Danio rerio: one gene and its partner. The protein of the gene in region 1 interacts with the protein of each later gene in a pairwise test. Links are inferred from orthologs where the notes say so. Each region holds a gene or a part of one and is shown on either strand. Other genes may lie near its edges.

Evidence for each region.
Region 2: the proteins of tns2a (region 1) and crkl interact in a two-hybrid assay, tested with the Homo sapiens proteins (2 studies listed by BioGRID and IntAct). The link is inferred for Danio rerio from reciprocal best matches to the Homo sapiens genes TNS2 and CRKL.

What each region holds. Positions count from the first base shown.
Region 1 is NC_133198.1:10,676,604-10,680,427, forward strand, and holds part of tns2a (tensin-2), read left to right. Parts: coding exon 1-17; intron 18-179; coding exon 180-296; intron 297-1,992; coding exon 1,993-3,447; intron 3,448-3,619; coding exon 3,620-3,773; intron 3,774-3,824. UniProt on the Homo sapiens protein: Tyrosine-protein phosphatase which regulates cell motility, proliferation and muscle-response to insulin. Phosphatase activity is mediated by binding to phosphatidylinositol-3,4,5-triphosphate (PtdIns(3,4,5)P3) via the SH2 domain.
Region 2 is NC_133196.1:20,315,571-20,320,110, reverse strand, and holds the start of crkl (crk-like protein), read right to left. Parts: upstream 2,854-4,540; 5' UTR 2,569-2,853; coding exon 2,258-2,568; intron 54-2,257; coding exon 1-53. UniProt on the Homo sapiens protein: May mediate the transduction of intracellular signals.

The DNA of each region.
Region 1 (3,824 bases):
GCCTGAGAAAATTAAAGGTAATGTAAAACTTTGCTCAAACTGCAGATGATCTTACTAACCTTTTAATTTCTCTTTCAGGGACCATGACATTGTTTGACAAATAGTTTTCTTCCTTGAGCTAATGTGCAGAATTTCCATTAAAATGACAGGGCCACATTATGTGTGTGTGTTTTATTCAGGGAGAGTGAGCCAAAGGAATGATCCAGCTGTCAGTGTGGACTATAACACAAATGATCCAGTGGTGCGCTGGGACTCATATGAGAACTTCAATCAGAGGCATCAGGACAGCCTAGAGGGTACTACTATTCATTCATACAACCACACACTGGTATTTATGCAAGCATTCAGAGGGAACGTACTGTTTTATAATACATTTGGCTTTTTAAAATAAATATATGCATTTGTTCAGCATGAAATTGTCTATAAAAGTTTTACTTTTGCAAAAGACTAATAATCTCATGTAAACCAGTTAGCTCAACACAATTACTAAGCAGTAGAACTGTTGAAATACTCCAGAATCAGAATACAAGAACGGTTTCTGAGAAATCATGGGAAAATGAGTAATAGCTGCTACAAATTCAGCCAGCATTTTATTAAATTACATTTTTAAAAAGCAATAAGGTAGAAAGCATGGTAACACTTTAGTTTAGTTCAGAACTTATGCTATTAACCACTGGCTTATTACCCGTCTGTTATTTCAATATTAAAAGTTCATTAGTAGTTATAAAGTATGATCTTATTCTGCTTCGCTAATCCTACCCAAAACCTAAACCTAACTTCTAGCTTGCTAACTAATAATAAACAGTTAATTAGTAGTGATGGGTCGTTCTTGATCGATTCGTTCATTTTAAGCAAATCTTTTGTCTGACTCAGGGAGGAGTCCTCTCAGGGAGTGATTTGTTTCATTTGCGCGTGTGCACATTTGTGCTGGTGGAGTAGAAAAATAGTTGCTTTTTCGAGTCTTCTTTCAAGTATCGTTTATCACATGAAAGACAGAAGCCAATTATATGCCTTTAGAGCCGGAAAAAGATTTGATCCGTTCATCTCTTGAGTATTTGATTTGCGTCCTTCGTTCATCACATGAAAGACAAAAGTCAATTGTATGCATTTAGAGTTGGAAAAAGATTTGATCCGTTCATCTCTCTGGTCCTCGATTTGAGTCCTTCATTCATCACGTGAAGGTTAGAAGCCAATCATATGCATTTAGTACTGGAAAAAGATTTGATCCGTTCATCTTTCGAGTCCTCGATTTGAGTCCTTCGTTCATCACATGAAAGACAGAAGCCAATCATATGCATTAAGAGCCGGAAGAAGATTTGATCCATTCATCTCTCGAGCCCTTGGGTTTGAGTCATCTCTTTTTACATGCTGTCATGTGACGTGATGAACGAATAATTTAAAAACCAGAAGACTCAAAAGGTGAACTAATCATGGCTTTATTCGGCTTGGACTGTGTTCTCTGGTTAAGCGTATATGGGACTGTCAGCACGACATGAACGAATCACTCTAGTTTGAAGACCTGTCAGAAAAGGTGAGCTGACATGTTTGTAGTGTGATCAACGTTCGAGCTTGTAGATGAGTTTGGAAGCAACTCGTAACATTTAATAATATTTTGGCAAATTGTACAAAATGACTCGAAAAAAAGATTCATTCATCTCAATGAACAAGACTCAAAGGTCAGAGTCAGTAAAATTATTGGAACTTCCCATTACTACTAATTAGTAGTTTATTAAACTAGTAGGGCTAGTTAATGGTTTATTATTACTGTGAATTGTAACCTAAAATAAAGTGTTACAGAAAACATTTAGTTTAATTTGTTTAATAGGTTGAAATAATATTTTACACTGATGTTTTTTACTATATTTTTAATTCAATAAATGTAGACTTTAAATTTCATAATGACTTAAAATTGTGGAATCAAAGTATATAAAGTATAGATTATTAAAATTATTTTATGCATCAAATATTGATCTTGCAATTACTTCTCTCCAGATATTGCTCATACACGTGGCCCTGTAGATGGCAGCTTGTATGCACAGGTTAAAAAGCGCCGCGCTGCTGCTGGCTGCTCCTCTCTGCCATCGACCAATGGAAGCCCTGCAAGAAGCTCTGAGGAAAGACCAAGTCAGCTTTTGTCTGTTAGCACTGATTCCGGACACTCATCTGTTCCTCCTGATCGACTCGATGAACCGACTCGACCGGCCCCGCCTACTCAGCAAGAGAGGGAGGAGCTTGAGCGGCTATTGGGTGGGATTGAAGGCGATGGACTGAGAGACCGTGACCGAGAGACGGCTATTTTGGATGATGGTGATTCCTTGCCTCCTGAAAGAACTGGGTCTCTGAGGTTAGGCCGTTCATGTTCTTGTCGTGTGGGTTACCGATCTCAGGGTTGTGCTGAGCCTGGATGTAATGGATTTCATCATTTACCCAATGGCCATTGCCTTGATCGGCCCACCACCACTAATGGACACACAGGGGCTCTGTCTCCAGGTATGTCATCTGTCATAGGACTTTGCCAACATCACAGCACCCATCCTCACCAATCCCTTCCTCCTCCAGACCTGCTCTGGGACCGCCAGCAAGGTCCACAGCACTACCTGCATCGCACTTGTTCAGAGGGACCATCTCGCCACCTGTATCCATATCCATCCCAAGAGATCAATTCTCATCCACACAGTCTGTCCCCCCGACTGCTTTGTAGACCAGATGAGTACATTTCATATCCTCACCATCATCACAATCATTCACACCATCCCAAACCCAGCGGACCCTACCATGATGTCATGATGATAGATGGCCTAGTGACACCCGGCTGCCCCTGTCGAGACTGTGCTCTACGACGAGAAGAGTTCCACACTTTACGTTTGGACAGAGAGGATGGAATACACTGGGAGAGAGAGGCAGAGCTTCACCGGGATAATGGGTTAAGACGGACAAGAGAGGCTGACATGCAGAGAGGGGCAGAGATATGGGAGCGGGAGCCAGGACTAAGGAGAGGAAGAGAGATGTCTCTTCACTGGGACAGAGACAGAGATGCAGAACTACAGTGGGAGAGAGAACGTGAGGCTGAATACTGGCACAGAAGGGCTACTGTATCCCCATACGGGCCCCACGGTCATGAATTACCTGCGTTTAATTTTGATCCACTCCCAGCAGGCCATCCTGCATACCCAGAACCCTCCCGCTCTCACTCTCATGCCCATCTGGATCTTAAATACAGCAGCAGCTCCAGTGGCTACCAGACACCACACCAGACGTGCCCTTGCTCCCCCTACCAGCCTTCACCCTCAGAGAGTCGAGGATATGCCTCGGGTTACCAGTCTGAGTCTACGTCTCCTCTTCCGCCTCCATCTGCCTCCTGCCCCGGCCCGGTGCACCATGCCAGTGGACCTACAGAAAACCAAACTGACCCCCATTCTCAGCATTTCACCTCTGACTCAAATACAGGTGAGGACTGGTAAAGTTGTTTCAGTTTAACTCTAATTAGTTATTGCAGAGTACTGGACTATTAGTGAAGCTTTTGAAAGCATGCTAAAAAGACTGTATATTTTTCGTCTGCATCCATTTTCATCTGTGCATGATCAAATTTATTTACAAGTCTTTACCCTATCATTATCAGATTGCCCTGGTGCAGATAGCATAGGATGGCGTAATCATATTACCCATGGATCCCTCCGGCGGATGCATCCACATGCTCCATATTCAACACCCTCTGATATTTCAGGACCTCCAACACCAGTCCACACAAGCAGCCCTTTACGAACCCAGGAAAGGTAATGTGCAGCTGCATTTATCAGTAGATCAACCACCGGAACCTTGACCTC
Region 2 (4,540 bases), on another chromosome or scaffold:
CCAGTCCTCCAGATGGCTGAATAGGACCACTGGGCAGAGCAGTACTGGGGTACCTGTAGAACAACAATCAAATCATATTTAGGATCGACTTATAAACTAGAAAAGCAGCATTTAAGAGCCCATCTAAAAGCAAACACTTTAATCAGCTTCTCGCTAGTGGAGGCCTTTTGTAATATTTAATCATCTACTCGATGTGCACTTTCACATGCAGAGTAACTTCCTGTTATCTTAAAGGGAAATAACTTAATTTTTCTTTACTGCACATCTCAAAAAGAACATTTTATAAAGAACCAGAACAAAATTGAGGGGAACTACAGATGTTTAATTCATTACTCTCATTGTAAGAGTAATACTAAACAGCCACCAAACCTATGGCAAGCAGTTTTAACAGTTATAGCTTACACTTAGTGAATCAATTTATGCTAATGATTAATTCTGGGCCGATAAACTGTATTATATCGAGTCGCGAAAATTTATATCAATGATAAGCTCTGAAATTTTTTACTTGATATTGACCTAATTACACAGCAGAAATGTGCAACAATGGGTATCTAAAAGTGTGTTGGTATTGGAGATGCACCCAATGTTCGGCCACCAAAAATTTATCGGCCAAACATATATTATGCCATTTAATGGTCCCTCTAATTTTTGTGACTTCAGTCATTGTTGGCATACACTTTTACATCTGGAAGCATTAACAACTTGCATCGAAATATGAGCAATTTCAGCATTATAGATATAACATTTACAAAAACTCAAAACATAAATTCACAGAAAAAAGTATATTTTAACAATCAAAAACAACTAACCACCAAGTTAAGGGATCTAAAAAATATCAATCTGTAAACATTTTTCATACTTTAAATGAGGAAAATAAACATGCGTTATGGATATGACCAAAAAAGTCTGCAAGTTACAGTATACAGCATACTTTGAAGAAATTATGTGAATTAAAACAGCAAAACTCAAATGAAATAATGCTAATTAAAAGGATGAGAGTTGGCTCTCTATAGAACAAAAAAAATCTTGATTTTATTTTACATTTTTGTATTTATTGAAAAAAAAAGTTAAGTTAGTTATGGATGTGACGTCTCTCTGCTATGGATGTGACGGATGTAAAATTGCTACTTGTGCGACTTTGATAAATTAAATATAATTGATTTTTCAGTCCAGTAAAATACAAGCCTACACACACACACACACACACACACACACACACACACACACACACACACAAAAAAAGAATTTAGCTATTTTGGTAAAAAACATAAAAAAAATTCATAGCAAGGTTGACATTTGCATGGAATTGCTCATATTGTCAATATGGAAAATAATTATTGAGATTGCATTTTTGCCAACTAATGATACTTTTTGTCTAGCAAGTAAGCCAAAACTAATCAATACTTTTACATTACTATCAACTTATAAAGACTTGCAGATGACGTCCATTTTTGACAGATGTACAAAGTTTCCAAATGATTCATTCATTACAATCATAAGTTGTAATATTTAGCAAAATAATATTTAATCATAACTAAGCCGAATCTCTGTCAAATTATCTCTGATAATACGTTTTAATTACAACATCAAAATATAAAAAATTCTGCTTTATAATTGAATTGGCTATACAAAAAAACATGATTTTAATGGACTAGTAGAGTCAAATTTTTAGAGGACAGTCACTAAGAAAATTATGCTAGTAACAAACTGCTGTCTTTCCAGTTTTACTAGTTGTAACTAGCAATATTTATCTTGTAACAACTTTTTTTTACTTGCCACTTTGTGAAAAAAAAATTATTATGATAGCTCAAAAATAACCTTACTAGCAGACCACAGTAGTCAGACCACAATAAAACCATGCAATGTGTTACTTATTAGCTAAAATATAAATGCCAGTGTCAAATTAAAAGTAAAACTGAAAGCATTTCCAGAAACATCCAAAAAGCTTCAACTTGCAAAGATTTGAAATTTAGTTTCCGTTGCAATTACAGGTTACTTACACAATACACTACTGGGTATTGGAGTATTGTTGCAACAGAAAACGTACAAAATAGATGAGTAATAACTGGTAACTAATGCAACTTAAAAATATAGTCTAGCAAGTAACGATGACAAAAATGAGTCAATAAAAACAGATCCTGGTTACTTCGAATGTTTAAACGGCTTGCCACAGAAGAGAAGGGGAGGGAAAAGAACATTATTGAGAAGAGGGGTGGATGATGTGACGATGTCAAAAGTAAATGAAAAAAACTCTTACCTTGGTGCTGGTTCTATCAGGGTGGTCGTATCCAAATAATGTATTTTATAGAACTCCAAAAGGCCGGGTAGATTATCAAACTCTTGATCGCCTATCTTGAATCTCTTGCTTGGCAAAGAGTTGATGATATAGTGCGAAACTTTGGAGTTTTCGGACACTGAAAGTACATAATCACCAGGACAAGTGGACGAATCTCGCACTAAAAACATCCCGTGTCTCTGTCCCTGTAGCCTATTCTGCGCCTCCTGTCTCGAAACCGGCCCGAAATACCAGCTGGCTCGGTCTGAGGAGTCGAACCGTGCAGACGACATGTTTATTCGAAATACACTTGTAACTGACGAACACGGGTGAAAAAAAGCAAAACGAGCAATAAATTAAAACAACAAATGCTTATTCTTACAAGCGACCTAGCACTTCTAGACCCGTCAGTCCTACTGAACCGCAACCTGACGTTTGACCAGACAGGCTGCGACTAGCGTCAACCAACTTTGATGCATTGCTAAATTTTCCACCAACACAAGATTCGCGGCGGTTTTAGGAGAGGTGTAAATAACCCCAAAAGTTCAGAGCGAGCTCAAATACACGTATTTGGAATCAAAGTTCCCCTTTCCGCTCTCTCTTCCGTGAAAGTAGCTGCAGCTTATGAGACAATATAACGCGTTAGCTGAGCTAGCCGTCTTCAGTCACCGTCCGCTCAAGAGGAGCCAAACAGCGCCATAATATGTTACTAAATCGCTCAGCATGACAATTCAAGCCGACGTACGTCAGTTGCTTCCAAAAACGAGTTCTTCTTTGCGTTCTGCCCCAAAGCACGAAAGAGTTGTGTCTCTAATTTTGACTCCAAGCAGACTTAGAGAGCTGTAACAAAAATGGCGGCCCGCAACACGTCTTCACAAACAACGAATTGTGAAAAATCTAGAAACATAAAGTTTCCCGCCTTGCACGGCGCTCTTTTTTCTGACGCGCGCGTCTTTCACGCTACAGTACGAGCGAGAAGACCTTTCTTAAAAATTCTGTTTTCTATGTCCTCCTTTCCTTCTCGGGATTGGTGTAAAGGCTGCTTCAGCTCCCCACACCGTCCGAGAAATGGCGTCTGGAGGGCGGATCTGCGCGCGCTCACGGTCTGTCTGATCGCCCGTCACGAACGCCCCGAGCGCCTGTTACTTAAAAGGAAGAATGAAATGAGTGGCGTTCAGAGGGGCTGCATTTCAAACTCTCTGAACCGCGATAATGAGACACACAGGGCACTGACAGAGCCTAGCGTGAGTAAAAGCTTTAAAGTGCTGTATTTTTGCTTACATTTTGGAAGGCAAGCTTGGATCACATCCTATCTGGATACCTGTTGTTTACACGGGGAGTTATATATATTAGCTTCACATGTTCAACTTTTTGATAAATTTATGATATGTTGGTGCCTAATGAATTTAAACATTTATCGGTGGAAGAAACTGAAGAAAATGTGCACAAGCCGAATTTACTTTTCTAAATCAGTAAAACATTAAAGTTAAATTGCATTTTTTTTGTGTAAATTCAGTTAATAATTGAGGGTATTCATTCTACATCTCATTTTACTCATTCTAGCTACACCAGAATGTATTTAGTTGCAGTATAACCTATAGACCTTTTTAAATATAGAATTAAAAAAAGACCACCAACAACTATAATGGCAAAGTATTAGGACAACAGCAGCCTGCGTTTAAACATTGTTTGTATAAGAAATCCTTTGTACCCATTTCAGTGGGTTTATTTAACAAGAGTTTATCTTAATTAGCATTGTAATATTAAAACTACTGTATTTTGCATTATTTTTATTGTTTGTTTTATGGAATGTCTGCAGCAATATGGTGATGACCATAACAAATTTCCTGTCAAGGACAATAAAGTTAACTTTACTACCACTTATGTATATGAATTATCTTGGTGGGATTGTGCCTTTACTTGAGTAATTTACAGTCCTGAATATGTTAACATTGATAATTGCATTCCTATACAGATAATGATTATTAGAGGTGAAAAACATTCAGGATACATATGCAGAGACATAATAATACAGAACCTTAAATACAAAAATAAAACAGCAACTTTATGTAAGTCGTCTTACAAGCATTATGTCCAATACATTACATTTTCTTTAATAAAGAAGAGCTCTTACATGCAACCAGGAGCAGACTTAACCAAAAAGTGAGGTAAGCAACCGCTTAGGACCTCGAGAAAATAGGAGGCCCCGACCAATGCCAAGAAGCCTTTATTAATCATCCTAGCTATTTTCACATTTTTCTATAA